4 linked regions of the Pelodiscus sinensis genome follow. The protein of the gene in region 4 binds, or shares a complex with, the protein of the main gene of each other region. Links are inferred from orthologs where the notes say so. Each region holds a gene or a part of one and is shown on either strand. Other genes may lie near its edges. The genes, in order: LSM6, LSM7, LSM4 and SART1.

Region 1 (7,703 bases), on a different chromosome or scaffold from region 4:
TCCATAAAATATTAATTAATATTCTCCTAGTAATGGGGGGCAGAGCATTGTAAACCCAATGGGAGAGTTAACTGGAAATCCAAAATTCCAAAAGAAATGCAGAGGTGACCACGAGCTCAGTTCCCAGCTTCAGATGTTGCGATCCCTTGCACTGCATTTCACCACCACTCAAGTTTGGCCCAGCCACACTTCTATAGAGGAGTAAGGATGCACAAAATCTGAGTGGTAATGTAACACCATGTACAGATCACAATTCCTGGAGCAGGAAGCCAGGCCCAGAACCACATGAAATGAAGCACCCCTGCATGGTCAGTGTAAAGTAGGCTTGCTTTCCACAGACCACCCATCTATAGTCTCCCAGTCTCTTCTTTCCGTAAATTTTTTCCTTGTACCTCTGCCGCAAAAAAATATTAAAAACATACGTGACAAAATCATAGCTCTACTGGTAAGACCCTGCATAAACTACCACATCCACTTCCAGACACCTCAAAACTGGAAAAATGTTGATAAATCAGAGACAACTTAGACAAGAGCAGCAAAGTGAGTGAAAGGCCAGAGACACTGAATTAACTATTAAAAACAACAAAGCCGTCTTATGGTACCTTAGAGACTAACAAATTTATTAGGTCATGAGTTTTTGTGGGTAAAACCCACTTCATCATGAAAGCTCACGACCTAAAATGCCACAGGACTGCTCGTTGTTTTTACTGTTACAGATTAACATGGCTACCCCTCTGAATTAAGTATATAGTTTGGCTAAATTATGATTGAGGAATATAACACTCTACAAGAAGTCTTGAGTGTAAAAAGCAGAAGGAAGTTTTTGCTTATGGTTGTTCTAAGAGATATAACTAGTAACTACAGGATGAAATAAGGAAAATGGAAAGTGATTTGGCTTAGGAACAATCTTTAGATGTGTGTATTGGTCAGCATCAAACAAACCTTTTGTGATATATAAATAAGATAAAGATCAAACTAAGCTTGTTGCTATTATACAGTGTTATCTAAAGTATCACAAAGGAAGCAGCAAAGAACCCACAGATTAAGAGATTTTAAATGTTTCTGAGAATATTGCCTAGGAAACAATTTTGCATTAGATCAGTGGTCTTCAAACTTTTTGGCTCATAGCCTACCCCGCTCAATGAAAATCTTTTTGTATACCACCAGCCAACCACTCATGATGACAAAATGCCTATGTTTATTTCTAAATACTTTAAATACTAAATTATTCATATTAGGCTATTGGAGCTATAGCATAAGTGGCCCCCAATCCTTATTGATGTGGCCCCCAACTAAGACACCTCACTTCCCAGGTGCTCCAGCCCCCGGGGGGCGGAGGGGGGAAGGCAGGGAGGACCAAGGTTCAGAGCTCCCCACTCTCCAGAATAACTATTCTAGCGTTAGTAGATTTTGTGAGTCCTCCTAGGCCCTGGGATGGGGCCAAAAATGACAGGTCCACTGTGTGGGAAGGAGCTGCGAAGGAGAGGGATGGGGATGCAGGAGGAGATGAGGGGCTCAGTGAGAGGTAGGGTGCAGGTGCAGGCTGGAGACAGGGTCATCTGGAGGGTGCAGGAACAAGGATGAGTGCAGTGTCCGGCCAGGAGGGAGGGTTCATGAGAACCACTGCATCAGATTAACAGTCACAGGTACTGGGTTAGGTTTTCGTCTCCGGTTGAGGATATTCCCGATCAGCAATGGCGCTGCAGATTTTAATGGGACTTCCCGCATTGTCACTTCTAGCAGGAGTTACACTGACTGTAGGCGCAGCGTGTAGACAAACCCCAGCCAAAGCCCATGTGCAAACATCCCGGCCGCAGGCTGGCACCGCGACAGCTAAGAACCAGATGCCCACAGAGCCGCCTCCGCGGGGCCTTCAGCCGAGGGGCGAGTCCCGGCTCCACTGCCCGCCCTGCTCGGGGGGGGGGGGGGGCGGCAGCGGGGCTGTGCCAAGCCAAACGCCGCCACCAGACACAGCGGCACCTCGGCAGCGCCGCGCTTCGGACGCGGGGCCGCTGCCCAATCAGCGCCGGCTCCGCTCCCGGGCTCGCAGCCTCCCACCCCCCTCGCGGAGACCTGACTCCCAACCCCCGCGGCTGCGCGGCCACCCTGGGGCAGGGCCCGGGGCGGAGCCGCACTCGCCTCGCGGCAGCCGGCAACCCCCCCCCCGGGACAGGAGAGCCGCTCCCCGGCTGCGCGTGACGCCCGAGCGGACACAGGGCCCCTGGCTGGCCCGAGCTCCGGCGCGCCCACCTCGTTCGCTCACCCGCGCCCTGTCCGCTGGCGGCCCCTCAATCGGCCAGGTCCCGAGCGCGGGACGGGCAGCGCTCCCAGCCAATCAACGCCCGCTCCCGGACTTCCGGCTCCGCTACGGTCAGCCGGCTGAGCCAAAACACCCAGCAGACGGAGCGCGCGCTTGGCCAGGGGCTGGGGAACGGTGCCTCCTCGGGGCTGGCGGGTGTTTTACCCGTCGGCCTCCCCTGCCAAGTCCCTGCGGCAGCGCCCCGCCCGCGTCCTAGCGGGAACCCAGCCCGGGGTGTCCCACGTGCTCGGTGCTGGCGCCTGGGCTGCGGTGAGATGCGCAGGGGGCACGTGACGTAGGCTCAGGCGCTGCGAGACTAGGGCTCCTCTGCGCCCCCCCCCCCTGCCCTGGGCGCCTCCTAGCGGGGAGGAGCAGCGGCAGCGGGGAGGGGGCAGGGCCCCGCCCCCTCTCTGTGGCCCCGCCCCTGCAGGCTGCGGGAGGCCGCAGACGGCGCCGCCTGCCAGGGGCGGGGTCCCGGGGCAGCCCCGCTGGTTTGCCCGCTGCCTGGGCCTCTTGCCCCAGCAAATGGGGGGTCCGCGGCTCCGCACAGCTGCCTGCGCAGCACTAACCCGCCGTGGCTCCGGCTGAGCGCGGGGCCTTGGAGCCACAGGCCGGCCGCCGTCAGAACCGCGACTCCTCCATTCGCCCTGGCCCGAGGGCAGGGAGGTCACCCGCACTAAGCCTGCCTCGAGCGGGCAGACATCGGCTGGGGGCACGTGACCCCCGTGTCCTCCTCTCCTGCATCGCCTTTGTCTCCTGGATCCTAGTGACAGGGCCACATGATCAGTCCCTCCTAGCACAGGTCTGGTGTTCTGACATTCTGGCTGCTTGTGTGTCCTATATGTTTTGTTGCAATACACTTAATTGTAGAGTAGGGTTACCATAGTTGAACTTTCCAAAAAGAGGACACTCCTGAGGGACAGTGCATCAGTATCTACCAAGTCCCTATATTAATACAACGTGTAACAGTGAGTATAGAAAAGAAAAAAGTGAAAAGCAAATTCCAAATCCATTACCTCACGAGTCCTTTCTGATGTCCCTCCTCCCCCCCCCCCCCCCCGCCTGTTTAATCTTGGGATCCACACAAGAGGTCATTCTACTACTTTAATTCTCTAGTTATGAATTCCACAAAACTTAGTTTATGACTTGCAAGGCAGGGACTATGAAGCGATCCTTCCCAGGTCAAAAGGAAAACAATGGAAATTCCAAGTTTAGATTTTTGTGGAAGGCTTCTTTTTCAGCCCCTTTCAATCCTCTCTGAATTTGGATGTAAACTTTGTGTTAGTCTCGTGTTCCTTTTTAGCAGTCCAAGGAAATTAGCAATCTGGCAAATAATGGTTTTCCTCAATTAGGTGGAACTCAGTTCCTCTAGGGCAGGGTTCCCCAATCTACTGGTTGCGACCCAAATATGGGTCACCATTACATTTCAAACGGGTCGCCAAGTGTCTCCCCAGGTGGCTCTGCCTCCCTTCATCCCTTCGTTTTTGAATTGCCTTGGGTCACCACGTCTTCCTGAATTATCAAAATGGGTCCCCATCTGGAAAAGTTTGGGAACCGCTGCTCTAGGGCATTTCCCCTTTGTTTATGCAGTATCCATAAGGTGGAAACAAACATCCAAAACATCCTTTCATTCTAAATGCCATACAGAAGAATCTTCAGGCAAAAAAAGTAAAATGAGGAAGCAATAGCAGCAAAACTTTCTTCAGTCACCCAGGAAAATAATCACTACATCAGATTCTACAAGGAGAGGGGGTTGTTACTGATTTTCGGAAGGAGGGCCAGTTAAGTGACTTGGTACATAGGTTGTTAGGGCTGTTAAAGCCCGGATCCGGGTTTTGGAACAGATACAGTCAAATTTGGGAGAACATGGGTTTAAGGATTATTTGGTATTTAAGGAGAGAGGAAGGAAGTCTGGATTAGAGGAAATGCTGAATGGAATCAGGCTGAAGGAAGGCATGGGGGACTAGCTGGGCCAGTCTGAGGTGGACTTGAAGAGCAATGTTTGGAAAGGGGCTTTTGGGGGTAGATTCAAAGAGAAGTGGACTGGAAGAATGCAGGAATCGGGACAGGTGAGTTGAGGGGATGTCAGAAGGGATCAGTCACGTGTAGGGAGGGGTCGGGCCTGAGGGCAGTCAGGAAAAGTGAGGTGTCAGTAGTTGGGAGGGTCAGATTATGAGTAAGGGTTTGGGATGTCTGCTCATGGTGGCTGCGGTGACTAATGAGGAGTTGGGTGTGTCAGGGGCGAAGCCAGGATCACTCGGGGAGGGTCATGCAGAGGGGCCAGGTCAGATGGGGAGCACGGGGCTCAGGGAAGCGGGGTCCATGGCAGGGGAGAAGTCCTGTGGAAGGGAACTCCAGGGGGGGTTCCTGCTTCCCCCTCACTCCCCAAGGCGGGTTCCTCTGCGGGGCTCTGGGCTCCCAGCTCAATGGCAACACTCAGGGCAGGAGGTGTTTGAAAAAGAATGAGCAAGGCAAAATCCCGGACATTTTTAGATATTTAAAAAACACGGCCAGATGGAGATTTAAGGACCAAAAAGGAGGACATGTCCAGGAAAAACCAGATATATGGTAACCCTATTTTAGAGCTACCTGAAAAGTTCTCCTTGGCCTTCTCTTTTCCAACAATAATATCATTTAAAGGGTTAATAGTCCAAACTTTCAAATACACCGACTCTTTGGTCTTGTTTCTCTCTAAGAACCAGTCAAGTCTATGAAGAAGGAGTAGTGGCATATTACATGGTATGAATGCCATTCAGCCATGCTCTAACTCAGTGGTTTTCAAACTTTTTTTTCTCATGACCCAGTTGAAGAAAATTTTTGATGTTTGTGATCCAACATAATTATATCTTTTGACTAGAATGTGCGCTCTGGGAGTGGGGGGAGGGGGGGGCAGGGCCGGAATGAGGGATCTGGGATGCATGAGGGGGGCTCCTGGTTCAGGGAAGCCTCAGAGTTGGGACAGGGGGTTGATGCTCATGGTGAGGCATGGGCTTACCTCCAGCAGCTCCTAGACAGCGGCACAGTGGAGATGCTAAGGCAAGCTTCCTGCCTCTCCTGGCACTGCAGACCACGCATTGCCCCGGAAGCCACCATCAACAGGTCTGGTTCCTAGGCAGAGGCACACAAGCAACTCTGAAAATGACCAGTGGGAGTGTGGAACCAGTGCTCAGGGTGGGGGAGTGCATGAAGCCTCTCCCCATTCCTGCTAGGAGACACACCTGCTGCTGGCTGCTTGATGATCCACAATGCCAGGTCAGGCAGGAACACTAATCACTGGGTTACCCACCACAGCATGGTGACTCAGTGCCTGACATTGTGTGACCCAGTATAGGATCTTAATCCATAGTTTAAAAACCACTGCTCTCACTTATTGCACACACTTGTTTATAGCTGGTACTGAAAACTAACCCTCTATTTGCATGACACATTTGACAGTGCATAATATGAACTTTACTAGCATATAACAATTCCACTTGTGTTTATTTTCAGTATTTTGTAAGTGATTGCTATGCCTAGGAAACATTTTTGATTGACAACAATGGTAATTTGTTTCCTCTCTTCATATAATGTGTACAGCCGCATGCAAGTTTCCTCATATCAAGTCTCCAAATGTTCCTCAAGCTTCTCTTGGAGGGACCATCCATAAATTCTTGCAGAATAGAATCTAGGGGTGATAGTGGACCACAAGCTAATTATGAGTCAAAAGTGTAACTTTGTTGCATAAAAAGCAAACATAATTCTGGGATGCATTAACAGGAGTGTTGTGAGCAAGACACAAGAAGTAATTCTTCTACTCTACTCTGCACTGATTAGGCCTCAACTGGAATATTGTGTCTGGTTTTGGGCACCATCTTTCGGGAAAGACATGTATAAATTGGAGAAGGTCCAGGGAAGAGCAATAAAACCATTAAAGGTCCACAAAACATGACCTATGAGGGAAGTCTGAAATAATTTGGTTTGTTTAGTTCAGAAAAGACAAGACACTGTAACAGCTTTCAAGTACCTAAATGTGTTACAAGGAGGAGGGAGAAAAAATATTCCCCTAAAACATCTGATGATAGGACAAGAAACTTAAATGACAGCAAGGTTTAGGTTGGACATTAGGAAAAACTTGCTAGCTGTCAGGGTGGTTAAGCACTTGGAATACATTGCTTAGAGATGTTGTGAAATCTTCATCACTGGAGATATTTAAGAGCAGGTTGGCAGGACGAAGCACCATGTAGATCAGGGATCCCCCAACCTTTTGGGGCTGCCAGGCACCCAGGGGCGGGGCCACTCATGCCGGGCACCCATTAGCCACATCCCCTGACCCCCATTAGCCACGCCTCTGGGGGTAATACTTTTGGGGCAATTTGGACACATGACCAGAAATAAAAGGTGTTGTGTGACCTCCCTCCCCCACAAGGACTTTTCCCACCATCCTCTTACCAATAGGGATTAGTTTGGCCCTCACCACCCCACCCCACCCCACCCCACCCTCCATGCAACTAGACTGCAATTCCTTTAACCCAATGTGTGTGACATTAACTTGGGGGGTGGAGAGGCTGGGGAAAGTGTCCCCTCTAAGAGTTTCCTCCCATGAGCACAATAAATTGTGCACCAGTACTGAGTTTGTGGCTTGTTTGGATGTACCACTGAGGCACCCAAGTTATTAATAAGTATCTTATAAACCTCTGTCCTTTCCTCTCCTGCCATATCTCCTCCCCTTGCTCCATCAGCTCCCCTGGTGCCTGCTGCCCCCCCCCCAACCCCTCACCCACTTCTGCTGTTCTGACTCCTGCCCTTCTCACTGACCTCAGCCTTCCTGAGACCTACCCCCCTCTACCAGCCCTTCTCTCCCCCCTGTGCCCACTCCTCCAGTAGCCCCACGCTGATCATGTGAGCTACCCCTCCTCATCCCCTCTCCTAACACCTCCCACTACACACCTGCCCTACCTCTCTCCTCTGGTGCTGGTCCCTCCCCTGCAGGTGTCTGCCTTTCTGCTTCACCCCCAGCATCCCCTGGCACCTGCACTTTCCCTTACCCCTGTACCCCTCTGTGCCTCCCCCTTCCCTCTCTGCCCCTGCCCCCTTTTTCCCTGATGCCCACCCTCTCACCACCCTCTGCCCCCAATTCCCTCATTCCCCTGTGCCCTCACACATGCCTTGCTCCATCCCTGCCTTCCTCATGCCCACCCCTTCTTTCAAGCCTTCTCCCGGCACCTCCCCTTCTCCCCTGTAGCCCCCCAAAGCCCTTCCCCTCTCCTCTCCTAGCATCATCCTGTCCCTCCTCTCACTAACACTTCCCCTCCTGCCCTTTTCCTCATTGTCTCCCCTTGGCCCCCTGGCATTTGTCTCTCTCCTCCACTCTGTCCCTTGGTGCCTTCTCCTTTCTTCTCCTGACCATCCCCGCTCCCCTCAGCAC
Region 2 (7,410 bases), on a different chromosome or scaffold from region 4:
TATTTAATCCTGAGCTGATGGTGTCAAACTTGCAGATGAACTGTAGCTCAGCAGTTTCTCTTTGAAGGCTGATCTTGAAGGTTTTTTGCTGCAGGATGGCTACCTTTAGATCTACTATTGTGTGTCCAGGGAGACTGAAGTGTTCTCCTACAGGTTTTTGTATACTGCCATTCCTAATATCTGATTTGTGTCCATTTATTCTTTTATGTAGGGACTGTCCAGTATGGCCGATGTATATAGCTAGATTGAATTAATCTCATAGACTCATAGACTTTAAGGTCAGAAGGGACCATTATGATCATCTAGTCTGACCCCCTGCACAGTGCAGGCCACAGAATCTCGCCCACCCCTCTTAGAATAATCCTCTCACCTATGTCTCAGATATTGAAGCCTTCAAATACTTTGAAGGCCCCAACATGCAGAGAGTCCTTCAGCTGTGATCTGTGCCCAATGCTACAGAGGAAGGCGAAAAACCTCCAGGGCCTCTGCCAATCTACCCTGGAGGAAAATTCCTTCCTGACCCCAAATATGGCAATCAGCTAAACCCTGAGCATGTGGGTAAGACTCACCAGCCAGACACCCAGAAAGTTCCCTATAATGAATGGTCAATTAGTTACCAAGATCATGTTATTTCATCCAACCATCCCCTTATCATAGAATCATAGAACTGGAAGAGACCTCAGAAGGTCGTCAAGTCCAGCCCTCCGCTCTAGGCAGGACCAATCCCATCTAAATCAACCCGGCCAGGGCTTTGTCAAGCCGAGACTTAAACACCTCTAGGGATGGAGACTCCACTACTTCCCTAGGTAACCCATTCCAATGCTTCACTACCCTCCTAGTAAAATAGTTTTTCCTAATATCCAATCTGGACCTCTCCCACCACAACTTGAGACCATTGCACCTTGTTTTGCCATCTGTCACTACTGAGAACAGCCTCTCTCCATCCTCTTTGGAACCTCCCTTCAGGAAGTTGAAGGCTGCTATCAAGTCCCCCCTCACTCTTCGCTTCTGCAGACTAAACAGACCCAAGTCCCTCAGCCTCTCCTCGTAGGTCATATGCTCCAGACCCCTAATCATTTTGGTTGCCCTCCGCTGGACCCTCTCCAATGCGTCCGCATCCTTTTTGTAGTGGGGGGCCCAGAACTGGACACAGTACTCCAGATGTGGCCTCACCAAAGCCGAATAAAGGGGAATAATGACATCTCTGGATCAGAGATTATCCTCATTATCTCTAGCCTGATTCTGGCCTGCATATTTATACCTGCCTCTGGATATTTCCACTACATGCATCTGATGAAGTGGGTCTTTGCCCACAAAAGCTTTGCCCCAATACATCTGTTAGTCTATAAGGTGCTACAGGACTCCTTGTCGCTTTTGCAGATCCAGACTAACATGGCTACCACTCTGAAAGTAGAGAGGTAGATCTCAGAGTCATCATAGAGAAAGTAGCTGAATTTGTGTTTGCAAATGAGACAATTCAGAGATAAACTGTTTTGGGAGACAAGAAAGGGACCAAAAAGACAGCCCTTTAGAAATCCTCCCTCCCCTACTGGGGGGTAGGAATGAAGATCACCCAATGGACACGAAGGAGCAATTAGAGAGGTGGAAGGAGAACCAGAAGAGCACAAGGACTTAAAAAAAACCCAAACAAACATGGTCAACTGTGCCCAAGGTAGTGGGTAAAGTTAAGGAGCAAGAGGACAGAGTACCAGATGTGAGCTTTGGCTAGGAAAAATCCATTAGAGATTTTGGAGAGAGCAATTTGGACTGAGTGGAAGGGGTGGAAGCCTGACTGGAGAGTCTTGGATTGAACTGGAGAGGAACTTCAGGCAGCAATTGCAGACAGGCATTCAATGAGCTTAGAGAGGGACAGAAGAGAAACAGAGCAGTCACTGGAGAAGCAAGTGGAGACAAGAGTGATATTTTTAAGATGGAAGAAACTGATATTTGCTTGGTGAGGCAAGAGAACCAGAAGAGAGTCAGGGGTTAAGTAGAAGAATAGGGGAGGAGGGGGGAGGGAAGTAATAAGAGTGACCAGCAGGGAGATCACAGGATGCATTGGTGTTACTGGAGTACATGGGAGGAATTTAGGAGACAAAAAGCAGTTAGGATTACAGCTGTGGGATTCATTATGTTGCCAATGAATTATGATTTGCAAACCCGCATCATTTAATTTAAAACCTACCTTCCCTACCACCTTGGAATTTTACTCGAATCGTTTTGTCAATATACTTTGAGAGATCCAAGATGCTCTCTTTCTTTTTCTTCTCTTTATCCTAAAGAAAAGGCAGAGTGACATAACTAAAAAGTAAATTGGAATCCTCTCTTGGTTCCATGTTTAATAATTAATAATACATGATTAAGCGTTAGACAGACAGTGCCAGAATGCCCTGCTTAATTACAAGCGTGGGAGTCAGCATCGCCTAGAGGTGCCTTCAAATGACGGATTAGCCAGAGAAGCTGAGCATCCCCATAAACGACCTTTGTTTGGATCTAGATGGCCCAAAGGCCTCGCAGGATGCAGCTTCATTAGCCAGGCCCGTCAAATCAAAGGTGGCTGGAGGGGCGGGGCGGGGAGGGGGTGCAGGCGGCCCCCAGGGGAACAGAGGGGGCGAGGGAGCACCCAGGCCTGGCAGAGGCACGGGGGGGGGGGGCGCACAGGAACGCTCGGGAGTCAAGGCAGGACGCCAAAAGCCCCCCCCCCCCAACCCGGGGTGCGAGAGAAGCCCCCCCGCGAACCGCACAACAGCCGGGGGGGGCCTGGCCCAGTAAAACCCGTCTCCAAGCGGAGCCCCCCCCGCACGCTCGGTCCGGGGGGGGGGGCCCGTTCCCGCTCCCCCTCCCCGCTTCCGGTCCTGAGCCAAAGGCTCGCGCCAGGGCCCCGGCGCTGACCGCCAGGCCCGAAACTCACCGCCATCTTGCGCGTGCCAAGCTCCCCCGCCCTTTTGCGCTTTCACCCCGCCACTTCCGGAGGAGGGGGGGGGGGGTCACGGCCCTGCCCTCTGATTGGCCGCTGCGCCCCCTCGCAGAGGCGGGACTTCCGGGCGGAGGGGCCGGGTTGCTGGGTAACGGGCCCTGCTCCGGGACAATAGGGGCGGCGGCGGGATGGTGGCGGCGCTGGCGAGCCGGGTCCGGCCCGGGCTGCTGTTGCTGCTGGTCAGCCAGGTGAGTCCCCCGCGGGCCTGGGCCCCGCCCCGCCCGCTCCGACGTGCCCGGCCCCGGGCCCCGCTCGGCGAGCGAGCGCGGCCTTGGAGGTGCGGGCCCGGGCCGTGCTGGGGAGAGCGCGGCCCCGCTAGTCGCTGCAGCCCGAGGGAAGCGACGTGCCCGGCAGCCGGCCGCCTGCGCTGGCATTTCCCGGGGCTGGACTCCACCGCTGCGCCCGCGCCCTAGTGCTCCCCCAGTCCGCACATGCCCCGCTAGGCCGAAGTGAAGACTCCTCCGCCCGCCGGCGTGGGGCTGGTGTTGGCCCAGACGCAGGGTTTGGGGCGGTCTTGCTGCTTTCGTTGCAAACGGACAAGAAAGGCCCCGGCTTCCCTGGGGGGCTCGTGGCTGGGAGCCCGGATCGGAAGCTGGGGCCGCTTTGGGCCCTTCTCTCAGCTGGGAGGCAGAGCCACTGCTGGGAGCCCAACAGCCTTGGCAGGGAGCTGTCAGTGGGGCTGAGAGACTGGGCTCCCAGCTCCCCACACTGCCCCTCCTAGGCTGGTGGAAGCACTCCTGATTAGGGCATATGCCACTGGCTCAAGGAGGGTGGTATGGACGTGCACCATCACTGTAAGCTGACTTGATATGTCCGTTTCGATTTGTAGTATAGGACATACCATTTAGCATTGACAAAACTGTGACTTCCTCATAGTTCCTGAAAACAGCTTTCTCTTCCCATTCATAGGAGTCTTTACCAGTATACTCTGCAGAAAAGGGGGTGTGGATCAGAATACTTAATCGTGCATAAGCGCCAAGTGGACATTTTTTCTTGATGTTATCATGTGTCCTGAAATTCTCAGTCTTTGTTAAATTTTCTAACAGGCACCAGCTTGCTTTCTCTCATGTTACCCCTCATGTTCGGAAGGACTTTCCCCAAAAAATCTGCACAACAAACTTATTATTCTCCTACAAAACCCCCTTAAAAATACTCCTTTGCTGTGGTGCCTACAAAAAATAAACTTGCCAATGGTTATGTTGCTGATGTGTTGAGACCACTGCTTAGGTAACTAGTGGTGTCCCCTAGGGGTGTGTCCTGGGACCAATCCTATTCAACTTATTTATACATGATCTGGAGAAAAGGATTAACAGTGAGGTGGGAAATCTTGAGCAATTTAGTATCATCTGCAAGTTAATTAAGACCAAAGCAGACTGTGAAGAGCTTCAAAAAGATCTCACCAAACTAAGTGTCTGGGCAACAAAATGGCACATGAAATTTAATGTTGATGAATGTAAAGTAATGCACATTGGAAAAAATAATCCCAAATATACGTATAATATGTTGGGGACTAATTTAGCTACAGCTACTCAAGAGAAAGATCTTGGAGTCATTGTAGATAGTTCTCTAGAAACATCCACGCAATGTGCAGTAGCAGTCAAAAAAGCAAACAGGATGTTAGGAATCATTAAAAAAGGGATAGAGAATAAGACAGAGAATATGTTATTGCCCTTATATAAATCCACGGTATGCCCACATCTTGAATACTGCATATGGATGTGGTCACCTCATCTCAAAAAAGATATCCTGGCATTGGAAGAGGTTCAGAAAAGGGGGAAAAAAAGATTAGGGGTTTGGAATGGGTCCCATATGAAGAGAGATTAAAGAGACTTGGACTTTTCAGCTTAGGAAAGAGGAGACTAAAGGGGGTTATTATAGAGGTCTATGAAATCATGCCTGGTGTGGAAAAAGTAAATAAGGAAAAGTTATTTAATTGTTCCTATTATAGAAGAACTAGGGGTCACCAAATGAAATTAATAGGTAGCAGGTTTAAAACAACAAAAGGAAGTTTTTCTTTACTCAGTGCACAATCAACCTGTGGAACTCCTTGCCAGAGGATTTTGTGAAGATTAGGACTTTAATGGGGTTCAAACAAGAGCTCAGTAAGTTCATGGAGGTTAGGTCCATCAATGGCTATGAGCCAAGATGAGTAGGAAAGGTGTCCCTAGCCTCTATCTGGAAATGGATGACAGGAGAGGGATCGTGTGATGATCACCTGTTGTGTTTACTCCTGGAGCATCTGGCATTGGCCACTGTCTGCAGACAGGATACCAGGCTAGATGGATCTTTGGTCTGACCCAGTATGGCTGGTCTTATGTTCTTATTTTATTTTCTCTGTTTTCTTGTATTCACCTACCACCTGTCTGTAACCATTTGTTGTCTCTTGTCTTGTACTCAGACAAGTCTGGGCAAAATAGAGCCTGCAGGTGCTGCGGGGAGCCTGAGGCAGGCTTCCCGCTTATAGAATCATAGAGCTGGAAGAGACCTCAGAGGTCATCGAGTCCAACCCCCTGCCCAAAGCAGGACTAAATCAACCCAGCCAGGGATTTGTCAAGTTGAGACTTAAAAACCTCTAGGGATAGAGATTCCACCACCTCCCTAGATAACCCATTCCAGTGCTTCACAGCCCTCCTAGTGAAATAGTCTTCCCTAATATCCAACCTAGACCTCTCCCACTGTAACTTGAGACCATTGCTCCTTGTTCTGCCATCTGTCACTACTGAGAACAGCATCTCTCCATCCGCTTTGGAACCTCCATTCAGGAAGTTGAAGTCTGCTATCAAATCTCCTCTCACTCTTCTCTTCTGCAGCCCAAACAAACCCAAATCCCTCAGTCTCTCCTCATAGGTCGTGCACTCTAGCCCCCTAATCATTTTGGTCACTCTCTGCTAGACCTTCTCCAGTGCGTCCACATCCTTTCTATAGTGGGGGGAGGAATAGCTGAGTGTTTTGAGCCTTGGCCTGCTAAACCCGTGGTTGTGAGTTTAATCCTTGAGGGGGACATTTAGGGATCTGGGACAAATCTGTCAGGGATGGTACTTGGTCCTGCCATGAGGGTAGGGGATTGGACTCAATGACCTCTCAAGATCCCTTCCAGTTCTGTGAGAGAGGATGGCAGATGGATGACTCAGTCCCTCTTAGGAGGGAGTCCCCAACCACCACCACCCATCTTTTTCTTTTGCCTCACCTCACCCGCATGTTGCTCAGAAATACGGCTGTGGGGTGATTTTACTTTAAAACCTGAGCCCGGAGGGGGAAGGATTTAGGAACTGCTTTCGCCCCCAGTGCAATCCTATTGACTGGCTTCTGGCCTGTATTTCCCCTCAGTGGTCCAGCAAGTACCCATTCTCAAGCATCCAGCTCCCCAGCTGTTGCCTTTCTCGGTAGAGATCCTTGTTTCTCTCTCCTTTGTGACTGGAATATTTCCAGGCTGCTTAGTTTCTTGTCTTCCCTGTGTATTTTCTAGGACAGACAGGTGTGCTCAAGGACAAGTGTAATTGCAACAAATGTTACCCTCCACCACGCTACCCGTGCAAGCCTACTTTAGTCCTAAGGTGAAAAGCATTCTAGAGAGAACATTTAAAAATAACAGAACTAGGGATGTTAAATTGCATTGAATCTACTAGTCGATAAGGGGGGAAACTGCAGAACTAACCCTGTTGTTGGCTCTGTCTTTTAAATGTATTAAGACCCACCAGACTTGTCCCTGGTCCCACGCTGTGCCTCTGCCTCCCCTGCTCCCTGCAGAGATGGTGCTGGGGAAAACCAGCTATTAAGCCGACTTCCCCCCGGCTCCTGCTCCCCATCCTTGCTGCCTCTGATAGAGGCAGCGGTGTGGGGGAGTAACTAATCAAGTCACTACTTGACTATACAATACGCTTATGCTTACATCCCTAAACAGAATCCACGTGCATGCTATTGAACTTAACAGAATAACCTGCAATTCTAACATGGATTCTGGCAGGAACAATCCTTCAAACTCACACTCAAGAAATTCCTGGTGGTTGCAACTTCAGTTCCAAACAAGCACCCAGTCCTCCTAACACTTTCCCTCTGATGCACTGCTAACTGAGGAAAAGCCTATTCTTGCTTATAGACCACCCCCCAACCTGAAACGAATTCTTTCCGGTCACTATGCTACACAACCACATCATAATTATCCAGGAACCCAGCCCTGCAATCAGCCGTGGTGCCAACTCTGCCCACGTATCTATACAAGCAATTCATCACTGGAGCCAACAACATAAGCTACCAAATCACAGGCTCATTTAACTGCACATCCAGTAATTTGATCTATGCCATTAAATGCCAGCAGTGCCCCACTGCTATATATATTGGACAAACTGGATAGTCCCTATGGGAAAGAATCAATGGACACAAATCAGATATATGTAGAGGGAACATACAGAAACCTGTTGGAGGTTTCAATCTAC
Region 3 (7,095 bases), on a different chromosome or scaffold from region 4:
TCTTAGGACTGAATAAGGATCTCAACCGGTTAACACATTACAAAGACCATTTCCCCTCTCTGGATAGTCACATTTCCACACCAAATGCTGTGAATGATCCACTTGCACCCTGATTTAAATTAGCTTCATTAACACAAGCAGCTTCTTCCTTATATAGACACCCCTGCTTCAAGGTTCGGTTCTAGGACCGGTTTTGTTCAATATCTTTATTAATGATCTGGATGAGGGGATGGATTGCACTCAGCAAGTTTGCAGATGACACTAAGCTGGGGGGAGAGGTAGATACGCTTAAGGGCAGAGATAGGGTACAGAATGACTTAGACAAATTGGAGGATTGGGCCACAAGAAATCTGATGAGGTTCAACAAGGACAAGTGTAGAGTCCTGCACTTGGGACGGAAGAATCCCAAGCATAGTTACAAGCTGGGGACCAACCGGTTAAGTAGTAGTTCTGCAGAAAAGGACCTGGGGGTTACAGTGGCTGAGAAGCTAGATATGAGTCAACCGTGTGCCCTTGTAGCCAAGGAGGCTAATGGCATATTAGGTTGCATTAGGAGGAGCATTGCCAGCAGATCCAGAGATGTCATCATTCCCCTTTATTCGGCTTTGGTGAGGCCGCAGCTGGAGTATTGTGTCCAGTTCTGGGCCCCCCACTACAAAATGATGTGGACGCATTAGAGAGGGTCCAGCGGAGGGCAACCAAAATGATAAGGGGGCTGGAGCATATGACTTATGAGGAGAGGCTGAGGGACTTGGGTCTGTTTAGTCTGCAGAAGCAAAGAGTGAGGGGGGATTTGATAGCAGCCTTCAACTTCCTGAAGGGAGGTTCCAAAGAGGATGGAGAGAGGCTGTTCTCAGTAGTGACAGATGACAGAACAAGGAGCAATGGTCTGAAGCTGTGGTGGGAGAGGTCCAGGTTGGATATTTGGAAAAACTATTTCACTAGGAGGGTGGTGAAGCACTGGAATGGGTTCCCTAGGGAAGTAGTGGAGTCTCCATCCCTAGAGGTGTTTAAGTCTCGGCTTGACAAAGCCCTGGCCAGGTTGATTTAGTTGGAATTGGTCCTGCCTAGAGCCGGGGGCTAGACTTGATGACCTTCTGAGGTCTCTTCCAGTTCTATGATTCTGTAACTTCCACTCAATTCATCTGAAGAAGTGGATTTTACCCATGAAAGCGTATGCCCTGATACATCTGTTAGTCCCTAAGGTGTCTCGGGATTCCTTGTGGTTTTTTAAGAGACTGCAGCTACCCCAACAACCCAAAGTGTCTGACGCTGATTGCAAGCAGTACTGGCAGGAAATATCCTTGTTACTCACCATCGGATGGTTCTGGGCAGTCTTCAACAGTGACAAGGGAAGCTAGAGTGAAAGTAAATAAAGGATAAGCCTGAGAAAAGTCAGCAGAACAAAGGATAAAGGCAGCCTATTTGCAGACAGTGATAGAAATGTAGCCGTGTTAGTCTGGTGTAGCTGAAACAAAATACAGGCCTATGTAGCACTTTAAAGACTAACAAGATGGTTTATTAGATGATGAGCTTTCGTGGGCCAGACCCACTTCCTCAGATCAAATAGTGGAAGAAAATAGTCACAACCATATATACCAAAGGATACAATTTTAAAAAAAATGAACACACATGAAAAGGACAAGTCACATTACAGAACAGAAGAGGGATGTGGGGGGGGAAGGAAGGTGAATGCCAGTGAGTTAATGATATTAGAGGTGGGGAAAGGAAGATGTCTGTGAGTTAATAGTATTAGAGGTGATAATTGGGGAAGCTATCTTTGTAATGAAGACTCCAACTATCTTACACATTACAAATATAGCTTCCCCAATTATCACCTCTAATACTATTAACTCACAGACATCTTCCTTTCCCCACCTCTAATATCATTAACTCACTGGCATTCACCTTCCTTCCCCCCCCCCCCCCCCCATCCTCCTTCTGTTCTGTAATGTGACTTGTCCTTTTCATGTGTGTTCATTTTTTTTAAATTGTATCCTTTGGTATATAGGGTTGTGACTATTTTCTTCCACTATTTGATCTGAGGAAGTGGGTCTGGCCCACGAAAGCTCATCATCTAATAAACCATCTTGTTAGTCTTTAAAGTGCTACATAGTCCTGTATCTTATTTGCAGACAAGCATTATTTCAGCCACAGATTTACCAAACACAGGGCAACTGCATTTCGGAGCCACTTCCCCAGGGAATACAGCCCAGGAGCTGCTGCCATTCAGATTAGACTGAGCGCTGACAAAACCCAGCAGGAACTAGGGAGGGGAAATGCAATGTAATTATTCAGCCAGTTCACCCATTAAGGCATAGGATCCCAAACCAGGGGGCGTGAAGAAATCCCCCCTCCCCCAAGTTGTGCTGCTATTTTTGTTTTTTTTGCCCCCCCCCCCGGTCAGTTCCTCTTACTTTTTTTTTTTTTTTGCTCAACAAGTTTTGCTGCTATTTGGGGGGGGAGGGGGAATGGGGGCATGAGCGTTTCTCAAAAATCAAAAAGGGGGCGTGATGCCGAAGTTTGGGAACCATTGCATTAAGGGGAGGGAGCGGCTCCCCGCCCCACGGCAGGGCGGGAGGAGGCCCCCCCACACCACCGGCAGCCCCCACCTGCAAAGCTGGAGCAGCCCCCACCTGCAAGGCGCCCCCCCCCCCCCCCACGCTGCGCTGCCCAGTGCTCGGCTCCGCACGTGTCAGGGAGCGAGGCGAGGGGCGGCGCGCGCTATTCGGCGTATTACGGTAGTGCCCGCAGCGGGATCCGCGGGCTGGGCGCCGCACGTGCTCTTAGGTGCATTACGGTAGCATGGAAAGGCCCGCGCCCCACCGACTCACCATCTTCCCGCTCGGCTCCCGTCCGCCTGCGGCCCCGCGGGCCCCGCCACGCGCACCGCCCCTGCCGAGCTGCTCCGGGCCGGGCTCCCGCCTTCCGCCACCGCCGCCAAGCGACAGCCGCCGTTTTACGGCAGTGCCGTAAAACGCGGCCGGCGGGCGCGACAGAGAGAACGGCGCGCGGCGTCCCCCGTTACCCACAATCCTCCCCGCCCTGGAGCCTGCGTTCCACACAATGCCCCGCAGCGCCCCCTAGGAGGCTGCATTACCCACAATCCCCCTGCAGCGCTCCCAGGAGCCCCCCTCCCATTGTTATCCATGGCCCTCTGTTGGACTCTACGTGCCCTGCACAGCTCCTCTTGCAGCCCCCCCTTCCCTGGCTGTTCTGAGACCCCCCTGTCCCCCCCAGTAAACTGGTCAGGCTCAGGCCAGCGCCCATTGGCCTGCTGCTCGCCCCATGCTGTGCACAGATCCCTGGCTGCCCCCCTTGTCTAAGCCCCTCATTGCCCAGCCCTGCTTGGAGATGGAAAGTCAAACAATACGGGACACGCTTGACATTCCATCCCAATCTACATGGCATCTCATTTAGGAAATACCGGACACTTCTATTTCCTCATTTCTAGTGTCTCAATTGGGTTCCCAAACTGAACGCTCAAATACTGGACTGTCCGGTTCAAAAGCGGACACCTGGCAACCCGGCTGGAAACAACACAGCAGTTAAAATTGTGACAGTCAACCGTAGCTCCTCTGTGATGGTGATGAACCATCTCTGGCAGCCATGAGAAACGTCAATCCTCTCTCCCTCTGATCTCGTGCTTCTTTTCTTTTCGTCCTTCCAGTCCTGCCTATAGTTATGTCTAGACTGCTGCTTTTTATTGGGAAAAGGTGCACAAATTGTACTCCGCAATTTGCCTCCCTTTTCCCAATAAATTTGTCGGAAGAGGCTTTTCTGATATTTGGCCCGTCTTCACTGGGCCAAATTTCGGAAAAACCTCCTCTTTCAGAAAAGCCCTTCTTCCTCGTGGCATGAGGAAGACCAGGCTTCCGCAAAAGCATGTCTGCTCTTCCGCCAAAAGCAGACACGTTCCTCTGGTACACTGGAAAAACTCAGTAGTCTAGATATAGTCTATGCTCGCATTTGCAGTACAACACTGCTAGCAACTGGGCTCTGAGCAGGTGTACAAGCCCACTTACACAGAGCTCATTGCAGAACAGAGGCCTAAACTTCCTAGTGTCCAGCCTTCCTCTTGCCTCTCCTCGCATTCCCTTGAACATTAGCCATGCGTACAGCACTGCATTTTAGTAGCAGGTTCACAATCTAGAAATCCAGAAACTATTGGAGAGTAACAATGCCCCCCAGTGGCTGTTTCTCTTTTGTTTTAAACCATTAGATTAGGTTAATGAATAAGTCAATAATTCTACCCCAAAACCATGGCAAAGGGACCAGTGAAAACTAGGCACAGCATCCCTTTAATTCTTTGAGAGATACATATACATCCTGGCTACGTCTACACTGCAGGCTTCTTGCTCAAGAACGGCTGTTCTTGTGCAAAGACTTGTGGAGCGTCTACACTGCATGCGCGTTCTTGCGCAAGGAAATTTATAGTAAAGTGTTGGAACAGAAGACTTCTTGTGAAGAACCAGCAGCCAGGAGAACAATGGATGTTCCCTCTTCATGGGCAAGGTTATAAAAGTATCTTGAGAGTGCCTCCGTCTTGTCTTCACTCCTGCTCTCTGCTCCAGGAGCACTTTTGCCAAGGACAGAGGGCTTGGAAGGATTCATGAACCCATCATAACATAGGATGTTCTCCAGAGACTTTTAAGCTGACAGCTTGTTACATCTCTGCTAAGAGCCTGCATCAAGAACTTGGTGATTGATGTATGTAATGTATTTGCTTTAACAATCCTACTCTCAACCTTTCCTTTCTTTTATGAATAAACCTTTAGATTTTACTTTCTAAAGAAAACCTAGTGTGTTCTTTTGGGTAAGATCTGAGGTATAAATTGACCTGGGATTGTGGATGGTTCTTTGGGACTGGGAGAACCTATTTGGAGTTGATGAAATCGGGTTTAATCTCTCACCTGCATAAAGTAGCGGTGGCTGGTGCACAGGTAAAGCTGGAATGTCAGGGTTGCTTGTGAGACTTCTTGCTGGCTAGAGTGGCAGCTGAAGTGATCTGTGTGACTGGTTTGGTGCCTTATAGGGAAGACTTCTGGTTCTGAGCAATTCACCCTGATTTGACACTCTCAGTGGTTCCCAAGACCAACCTGTTATGTTATAATGTCTAACCATCTTAAATAGGTGTGAAATTATAAGACTATATATTAAAATACAGATGCTGTCAAATGAAGGATGAAATATAGTAAATATTATTTTTCTTATTGTATTATTCTTCAGTATTTAACGGCCTCTTCTCTTCACCAAAACAGACTTAATTGGGAAAATATGATGTCCAACTAAGAGTCACAATTGAAAAACTTCTACAGACTACATCACCTTAAATATGTATTTGTTGGGCAGGTGATCTGGGAAACTTGTAAAATGGAAACTGATACATTGTCCATCTTCAGAATTAACAACAGTATAGTGGAAGTCTCCTTTCAAGTAAGGAATTGTAAAGGTTTATACTATAGCTTAATAAATACTCATGGATAAACGCCAAATATCTGATTAAGAAAACAAGTGGATTTTCCTGTTGCATATTAAAAGCCTAATAAAGCAAAATGCTGAGTTAATGGGAGTTAAGAATGCTCAGTACCTGCAACATTTATAAAAAGGCAAATGTTCTTGTTATTTAAAAATATTATGAATCAAAGTCTTGTGGAATACACCCAACATTGAAGCAAACTGATCAGGGGGCTAGGGGACATTCCATGGTTAGCCAAAGTTACATTACGTTTACCACTGCTCCATCATGAAACTTTCACTGTAGCAACCAAGAAAGATTACAGAGGACTTTGGCAAGAACTAGACTTTGCTGGCAAAACTAGTCATCATGAAATGCCATTATTGCACTAAACCACATCTCAATTGCGGTTTATTTTATTATACTCATGGCTAGGCTTCTATAACTAGCTATAGTTTATCCATCCCCCATGTAGTGAGAGAGACCCTGGCACATACCTACCTTGAGCATGCCAGGCTGCACCCCCTTTTCCTGCTTATGCAATACTTTTGCATTTTTGGCTGTATTTCTACCCCAACCTTCTCACATATGCACCCCCTCTGCATCACTCTACAAAATGGTGGAACCTCCTTATCAACCACCTCCTGGTGATAGTCAAAGTGGCCATCTAGAACACCAGAAAGAGGATGTTAGCTGAAGGGATTCTTTGCTATAGTGCGGCTCATTTCCAATCCACTCTCTGCACACGTTTCCAGGCAGAATTCTTCCGGATGGCAGCTGCTGACTCCCTTAATAGGTTAAAAGGGAAGTGGTGCTGGCCAGGGTTCTCTGCTTGGTATCTCCAGGTTCCCTACCTTTGACCCTCCATGACTGACCTTGTTTTTAATTTTGTTGTCCCCCATATTTAACTGAGTCCCAGGCTCACTGTATCCTCCCTGTTAGGCTAGAGGAGAGTCCTTTAGCCATGGCAAGTTTGTGCCCACCCACTTCCCAGAAGCCAACAGGATGGTTCACCCAAAACACATCTCCCACCTGGTTTTCAGGTGTTGAGCCTGTAGTTAAATGATTAAATGGGTTCTGACTCACTGACACAGATGTTCCCTTCCTTCCCACCAGCCTATAAGGGAAGAGAACTACTTTCTTCCTTTCAAAGAGATTTAGCAAACCAGACCAGGTGTAAGTTTCCCCTATGTCACGTTACTGAATTTGAGGGAAGCAGCCAGATCACTGCTGCACCCATAGGTGGGGATGTTGGCCCCAAAAATGGTATAAAAGGGGCCCATGTGGGGTGTTGAATAGAAGCTTACTGTCTGCTAATCCTATGTACGCTAGTCATGTGATTGTATAATGTCTGTGTGTTGTTAGGAATCTGTAATCTGTGTGGATACTGAATATTTCTCTGCATGTGGTTGAGCATTGGGCAGAGCCCGGCCTATGGACATGCTAATTAGCGAGGCCCTGTGGGACAATGGCACTCAATGGGCCAAGGACACACCTAAAGAATGAGGGCTGACACCGAAGGGCTGCCAGCAGGGAACACAGGGATGGGCCACTGGCCAGGTGACCTGCTGCAGCCAAGAAGAGACCAGGAAGGATGTATAAAGAGGCCATGTGGTGAACTCCATTTTTGGTACTCA
Region 4 (7,620 bases):
TGGCCTTTGAGCTAGCAGCTGTTTAGAGATAAATCAGAGAGATGTTTGTAAACAAGATAAAAGTAAAATGTATTCAAACAAGGATTTTGTTAAAGCCAGAAGGGTTCACTCTAGGGATGTTAGCTATCCTGCAATTAAATAGTCACGTAACGGCATGAAATGTTAGTGATTACATGACTATTCAACAGTCCCCAGGGTTGGGGCCAGCAGCCAGTGCACTCCCAGACCCACTCCCAGGGAGGCCTCTGCCATCCCAAGGTCTTGCTTCTGTACCAGCTCCTCTTGTGAACCAGCTGCCTGCTGCCCTAATGCAGAGGCAGCAGTGTGGGGCAGCAGCATCCCTGCCCATGGGGAGTCCAAGCTCCTCACAGACAGAAGCTGCTCTGTGGGATGGATCCCCTGCAGACGGGCTGCTTCCGCAAAGCAACCTTTGCCCGTGGCAGGTCCAGGCTCACCACAGACAGAGGCTGCTCCATGGGATGTGGAACAGCCTCTGTTCACCGGGAGCTCAGCCTGCCAGAAACAGAGGCTGCTTTGAGGAAGCCTCCCCTGCCCCACCCCCTGCGCTGCTGCCTCTGATAAGCGGGGCGGGGGGGGGGGGGGGACTTGCTGGCTCCTCCCAGCACTGGCTCCTGCCTGCCCTACTTCCCCCTACCTCTGTAGGAGGCAAGTACATAGAGCCGATAGGTGCAGGGAGCTGGCTGGAAAGCTGGCTCCCTATGCACATCAGCTCTAGCCCACCCCACCTCACTGCTGCCTCTATCAGCTCCCGCTCTGTATCAGCTCCTTAGATACAGAGGCAGCAAGGGGGAGGGGAAAATGTGTGCAGTTGACAGGATTAACCAATAAGTCTAGGCTTATCGGTTAATCATATAGTTGACTATACGTTGACATCCCTAGTCCACTCTGATCAACTAGTGTGACCTCCTGCATAGCATTTACCAAAGACCCCACCCAGCTCAGACATATACACTTTTTATAATGAACAATGCTGTGAAGACAGACACACTTTACAGTAACCTGAAAATTCAGCATGTCTCCTATAGTACTGCCCATTACCTGGAATAAAGATCCCCACAGAGGGAACCAAGCTGTTATTCTGTTGAATAGCTTGCACTATTCTGGAGCATCAAAGGTCAGTGGCTAGATACCATGACAACAGAATATGGTACCGTAAAACAGGATGTACTAAACCGATACTGCCAGAAAAAAGGTCTATCCAAATCATAGGTCATTACAGTTATTGCTTAGAGTTATGGATTAAGACACCTTTTCAGGGCACTTTATACATAGATGCTCCATAACCAACCAAAGAAGCCCCTTTACATTAGGGCTGTGTCTACACTGGCATGAATTTCCAGAACTGCTTAAAACGGAATACTATTCCGTTTTCAGTTTTTCCAGAAAAGGAGCGTCTACATTGGCAGGCTGCTTTTCCAGAAAAGCCCTTTTTCCAGAAAAGCGTCTGTGGCCAATGTAGACGCGCTTTTCCGGAAAAGAGCCCCAATCGCCATTTTCGCGATCGGGGCTTTTTTCTGGAAAAGACTACTGGGCTGTCTACACTGGCCCTTTTCTGGAACAGTGTTCCGGAATAAGGACTTATGCCCGTGCGGGAACAGAATAGTTTTTCCGGAATAGCAGCTGATTTTTTACAGTAGAGCGTCGTTGCTTTTCTGGAAATTCAAGGGCCAGTGTAGACAGCTCGCAGCTTATTCCGGAAAAGCGGCTGATTTTCCGGAATAAGCGGCCCAGTGTAGACACAGCCTTGACGTGTCCTGACTTCATCTGCTCCAAAATCCTTTCATAACCCATTTATGAAAAGTTACACGTATGTGCATGTTCACACTCCTTGCTTTACTCTTTCACTCCTCTTCCTTCTGCAAACTCACCTCACCACCCCTTAAGTCAGCAAGTCTACATTTTCCCTAAACCTCATGCCCCACCTCCACCAGGACAGCCCCTGATGACTCCTCCTCCTCCATCTCATGAAACTTCACATGCCCAACACTAAACCATCACAGATTAGAATGCCTCATCAATACCCCCCAACGAAGTCATGCCCCCTGCCCTCCTAAAGCTCATGCCTCAGTGTCACGACATAGGGTGCACATGCACTGATCCCCCACCTATCCCATTCCCAAAACGTGACCTCCATAACATCTCCCCAGCAGCCAGTCCCCGCCATAAAACCTCACAGCCAATCCAAACTCTCATAGCCACCTTCACACCTCCAGACACTTGCCATCCCAGAGCACCTCTCGCCAAGCCTACTACTCTACTCATTCCTGAGCTCATTACCACACCAATCCCCTCCCTGGGCCGCAGAGCCTTGACCATAACGCTTCTTCAAGCCCCATAGTCACACGCCAATCTTTAACTCCCATAATCGCCTGCTGAACCCGAGAGCACCCCCACGCAAATTCCTCTCTCTCGGACACTCACTGACAGCCCATCCTCTCTCGGCCATCAATAGCCCCTCAATGGCTGCCTCCTCCTCTACCCCACACTTCTTCCCTTTGGGCCCTTTCCCAGAATCCCGGTGTCCTCCCCTCAAAAGCGTCTCAATCTCTCGGGCTGCTCGTCCCATAGCCTCCCCATTCCCCTGCCCGGACGCTGACCCGCCTCGTATCCCTCGTCGCGCTTCTCCCGCTTGATCCGCCGGGGACCCTCGGCTTCCTGGGCACCCCTGTCCCCGGCCCGGCCATGGCTGCCACGGGCCGCCTCCTCTCCCCCGCTCCGCCGGCTGCTCCGCTCCCCGCGGCTCCGGCTGCGCTTCCCGCGCCGCTCGCCCGACGCGCCGCTGCGGTGCTTGTGCTTCTTGTGCTCCCGGTGCCGGGAGGAGGAAGAGGAGGCAGCAGGGGGCGGCGGCGGTGGCGGCGGCTGCTGCTCCTCAGAGCCCCCGGTCTCTCCCCGCTCCCGGTGCTTCTTCGAGGAGCCCATGGAGACGCAAAATGGCACCGACGCAACACGAAACTTCCGGGATCGGCGCTACAGTGCTTCCGGGTCATTACATGCTCGTCCAGGCTCATTGCGCACGAATTCCGGATAATTTATGGGTTACTTCCTGTTTATATGTACGTCACTTCTCGTTTGTTGCTACTTCCTGTTCAGACCTGTCTAATGCCCGTATACTTGTACGTCACTTCCTGTTTACAAGGCTATTACCTCCGTGTCAAGAGGGTGTGTTTCCTGTTTGGCTGAAGTTGTCCCCTAGTTCGTCTTTGCCCCCAGGCAACTGGGATGTGCAGTTACCAGTGGAGGGGGAGGACACATATTTCTCTACCTCGTTACATCACGCGGGGCGGACGCTCTGTGGCTCTAGCTGCCCTTGGCAGACATTGCAGGGTGTGGCAGGCATCCCAGTGTCAAAGAATTTTTAAAACCCCAATAAATAAAGGCCTTTAGCTCCCATGGAGTCCAGGCTAAGGATGTTAAGGACTAGTTGACTCTCTGATAAGCAAATGCCTATCAGATAGTCCAGTCGACTAGTTAATTCCCTCCCCCTCCCCTTGACAGAGGCAGCAAAGGGGGGGAGGAAGAAAGGGGTGGACACTTCAAAGTGACAATGCTGCACAGGGCTCATACATGGGCTCTGTGCGGTGCTGCTCTGTCAAAGGGGCAGCACTGCACAGCTGATCCCAAGCTCACCTGTGCGGCACTGCACCTTTGAAACGCCACATCGTTTTAAAGCAGTGTCGCACACAGCTGCCCCGGGGCTCCATGCAGTACTGCCCCTTTGAAGCACCATGGTGGCATTTGCATGAAGCTCGGGGTCAGCCAGAGGGGCATGCCTCTGCATGGCATTTCAAAGAGGTGGCGCAGCATGGAGTCTGAGGTCAGTGGTGGACTCTGAAGCTGCGTCTACACTACCAAGTTCTAACAGCAAAAGATATTCAAATTGCACTTTTCTTCCCACTTTTCTTCAGAAAGAGGCTTTTCTGAAAATTGGCCCGTCTACAGCAGGCCAAATGTCAGGAAAAAAGCCTCTTTTGGAACATCCCTTCTTCCTCACAGAACCAGGTTTACAGGGATGCCAAAAAATGCATCTGCTTTTCTGAAATTTTTTTTTAAAAGCAGATGCATTGCTTGGATGCAGCAGAGCTTTTCTGGGATACCTCTGGTATCCCAGAAAAACTCTGCCCTCTAGGCGTACCGCTGAGTCTGCCGCTGACCTTAGGCTCCATGCAGGTGCTTCTGCTTTGAAATGCACAAAAGCCTCCACTGGGGACTTTTGCGCATTTTTAAAGCTGATATCCTTGTGCAGCCCAGAGTCAGCGGGACTTCCTGCTGTCCCCAGGCTGCACACAGAGTACCCCAGCAGGGGCTCTTGTACATTTCAAAGGAGGAATGTGGAAGTGCCTATCAACTAGTGGAGTATTCAATGAAAATTCCATCCACTACTCAACTAGTAAATTACTTGATATTTAACATCCTTAGTCCAGGCCCAACCATCTCATCCATCTCATGATTTATAATAGTTCTGTGAGGCCTTTGAACTCTGTACAGCTAGCTACTTAACTGTATTGTTTAGTAAGCCCAGCACATCCAAACAAATCTATGACAATGCTGTTGCAAGGAAAGAATTTAACATGGCTTGGGAAAACCCGTTCTTGTTTATAGAAGGAAAAGAGTCTAAATCTATAGGGTTACTGTGTGACACTATAGCCCTATGAAAAAAGTTTGATTTTGAGTGGCATTTGGCATAAATCTATGTAGCCATGAACACAAAATATCCCACTGGATTGCTTTGCAGGAAGAGCTAGTGCTCCACTGGAATGTTCATTGGCTGTCAAAGGGAAAGGATCACAAAAAAATCTGAGATATGGAAAGCCAGTGCTAACTTTTTTGGAAAAGAGGGATAAACTCAATGACAATGACAATGACAAACTTACTGAAGACAAAGACTAGATAAGTGACTTGGATTTCCTCATCAATATTGTGTTTCATCTTAACATATGTACAAGAGAAGGATTTGCCTTTTGCTACACTGTGACTCTTCACTGTTTGAGAAAATTTTAGGATTGATAACTCTACTATGGATCTCTTTACTAATCCTGTCACTGTTTTGTGCACCGATGTTGATAATTATCTTCCAGATTTATAGTTAGAAATTCTTGAACTAAAATATTATTTCTGGACTTGGGAATAAATTAAAAGGATTGTGTATATCTCCAGTAAACCAAGATCTGATTGTGATGGGTTAGATTACAGACGTCCCTTTGAGGTTGTCCCCTAGTGTGCTGATCATGTCAATAATGCCCACTTTCCTGCCTTCTGGGGCTCTTCACCACCCTGTCTTGCTTGACCAGAAGCTCTGGTTTCCCCCAAAAAAGGCACAGAATTGGGGTTCCTGCCCCACCCTGCAGAGCAAAACTGACACTGAACTAATTTAGCTCTGGGAAGAGTCAGTTATAAGGGCTTAGCACCAAGAAAACCAACCCCCAAAAGGAACCAAAACCCCAAACAAATTCGTCTTCCCCTGTGTAAAAGTTTTACACAGAGAAAACTTGTAAAGATGCCCGCCCACTTTATCAATGAAAGAGAGATATGAATATAGTTGCAATCCCCCAGGTAACAGTTATTTACACTGGGCTTGGTAATAAACGTAGATGTTTTTAATTAAGTACAAATAGTAAGATTTAAATGGTTGCAAGTGAAAACAGATCAAAGTTAGTTACAAAGTTAAAATAAAAAAAAACCCAGCTAATTCTGATATACTAAGAAATGTGTTGCATGTGAATTCTTACCCTAAAACAATTGATCTAAACATTTCTTTCACAAGCTAAGCAGCCTGCTATTATGGGCCCAATCCTTTCCCCCTGTTCAGTCCTAGATATTTCCAGCGGGCATCTTAGGTAATTGCTGAGTCTCCTGGCATCTGGCAACTGCCCTATTCTTTGCCCTGGCCCATATTCCTTTTGCCCAAGGCAGGAATTCTTTGTGCTCAATTCAAACTTTTCTCACCTTAAGTGGAAAAGTACCAGATCCAAAATGGGTTTCAGCCTCAAGTGTCCTGGCCACATATCTGTCTAGGATCAACCATAGTTTGGACTCACAGGACAAACAAGGCTATTCACAGATCGTTAGTTTGAGAGCTGAGTCATTACGTTTCCAGAGCATCAGTAATGATCCTTTTTAACACATTTAGAATTAACAGATCCACATACAAGAATGATACAAACCCAAAAATAGGATATACAATTTCAGCGGATTACAAACTTTAAAATTACATGTCACATTATTTATTTTGCATAAAACATCTTTGAGTAGGGTTACCAGATGGTTTAAAAAAAATACCAGACATACTTGATCTCAGATCGGGGGGAGGGACCGTCTGAGAGGGGAGCGGGGGTGGCCGGGAAGGGGGGAATGGGAGGATTGGGAACCGGCTGCCGGGGAGTGGGGCTGGCCCAGGCACACGCAGATCCCAGGGTGCTGCCCATCCTGCGCACAGTCTCGGCGGGTCACACGGGCAAGTCTGGCCCTGGGGATTCCATCCCACCCCTGCCCCCCTCCTCTCTACTGCATAGTTGCGTTCTGCATGAGTATGTCTACCAGCTAGGCAGTATGCAACTACGTACTGATACTCATGATAATAATAAGAACATAATTAGAAAATACCAGACATTTATATGTCCAATATTTTCTCAATTTGTTTCCCGGACAGAAAGTGAAATACTGGACTGTCTGGTTCAAAACTGGACACCTGGCAACCCTATCTTTGAGTTATGTATTCTCATAAGCAAATTTTCATAAAGTATGGTGGCGGGAGAGACTGTGACACTGATACCATTCTGAAAATTTTTCCTAAAGGAGATTTTTCTCAGATAGATGATCTTGCCCTTTGAGATGATGGTAAACTTGGATTGGTGTATATTTACCAGACAGTCATTTTCAGAGAGAAAGTTTATTAAAAGGAAATATCATCCCAAATTCACTTATTCCCAATTCAATAACTTCAATGACTCCAGTACATCAGTGAAGCTGTACACAGGGATTGATAACATTGTGGACAAGAAGGGACATTCAGAAACCCCTTTATATTGCTGCCACCACACCCAGATCATGCTCAGTTTTATTCTGAATTAATTCTGTTATAGGAAATACCATAATTAAGTGTCATTTTTTTAGAGTAGAGGTTTTCAACCTTTTTTCATTTGTGGACTTCTAAACATTTTCAAATGCAGCCACAGACCCTTTTGGCAATCTTAGACACACTCTGAGGACCCCAGGGACCCACATATCACAGGTTGAAAAGTCAGTGTTTTAGACACTTTAATAATACTAATACTAATACTAATACTAATACTAATACTAAAGTGACATTTTGGTAATAAGTTCATATTGTGCCAAACTTATTGTTGAGGTCCTGCCTTCGTAACAGGGGAACATGCTATTGTACTTGGGGGGTTAGTTATATAATTTCTTCTTCACACCACAACAGAGGTGGGGAATAATTTGAATGACATACCCCTTCTCTTCTTTATAAATAGATCTATACACAAAGGGTATGTCTGCACTTGCCCCCTACTTCGAAGTAGGGAGGCAAATGAAGCACACCGAAGTTGCAAATCAAGCCCGGGATTTAAATATCCCGCGCTTGATTTGCATGTTCCCAGC

What was found.
Region 1: SART1 (region 4) and LSM6 share a complex: the UniProt entries of both Homo sapiens proteins name them as parts of the U4/U6-U5 tri-snRNP complex. The link is inferred for Pelodiscus sinensis from reciprocal best matches to the Homo sapiens genes SART1 and LSM6.
Region 2: SART1 (region 4) and LSM7 share a complex: the UniProt entries of both Homo sapiens proteins name them as parts of the U4/U6-U5 tri-snRNP complex. The link is inferred for Pelodiscus sinensis from reciprocal best matches to the Homo sapiens genes SART1 and LSM7.
Region 3: SART1 (region 4) and LSM4 share a complex: the UniProt entries of both Homo sapiens proteins name them as parts of the U4/U6-U5 tri-snRNP complex. The link is inferred for Pelodiscus sinensis from reciprocal best matches to the Homo sapiens genes SART1 and LSM4.

The regions. Positions count from the first base shown.
Region 1 is NC_134715.1:51,640,580-51,648,282, reverse strand, and holds the start of LSM6 (U6 snRNA-associated Sm-like protein LSm6), read right to left. Parts: upstream 3,002-7,703; 5' UTR 2,869-3,001; intron 2,636-2,868; exon of another isoform or gene 2,251-2,635; intron 1-2,250. UniProt on the Homo sapiens protein: Plays a role in pre-mRNA splicing as component of the U4/U6-U5 tri-snRNP complex that is involved in spliceosome assembly, and as component of the precatalytic spliceosome (spliceosome B complex).
Region 2 is NC_134729.1:26,010,762-26,018,171, forward strand, and holds the start of LSM7 (U6 snRNA-associated Sm-like protein LSm7), read right to left. Parts: upstream 3,007-7,410; 5' UTR 2,918-3,006; coding exon 2,912-2,917; intron 2,277-2,911; coding exon 2,186-2,276; intron 1-2,185. Other genes in the region: SPPL2B (signal peptide peptidase-like 2B), read left to right, coding at 3,106-3,165. UniProt on the Homo sapiens protein: Plays a role in pre-mRNA splicing as component of the U4/U6-U5 tri-snRNP complex that is involved in spliceosome assembly, and as component of the precatalytic spliceosome (spliceosome B complex).
Region 3 is NC_134729.1:20,046,379-20,053,473, reverse strand, and holds the start of LSM4 (U6 snRNA-associated Sm-like protein LSm4), read right to left. Parts: upstream 3,018-7,095; 5' UTR 2,838-3,017; coding exon 2,835-2,837; intron 1,358-2,834; coding exon 1,316-1,357; intron 1-1,315. UniProt on the Homo sapiens protein: Plays a role in pre-mRNA splicing as component of the U4/U6-U5 tri-snRNP complex that is involved in spliceosome assembly, and as component of the precatalytic spliceosome (spliceosome B complex).
Region 4 is NC_134721.1:33,049,088-33,056,707, forward strand, and holds the start of SART1 (U4/U6.U5 tri-snRNP-associated protein 1), read right to left. Parts: upstream 3,003-7,620; 5' UTR 2,941-3,002; coding exon 2,619-2,940; intron 19-2,618; coding exon 1-18. UniProt on the Homo sapiens protein: Plays a role in mRNA splicing as a component of the U4/U6-U5 tri-snRNP, one of the building blocks of the spliceosome. May also bind to DNA.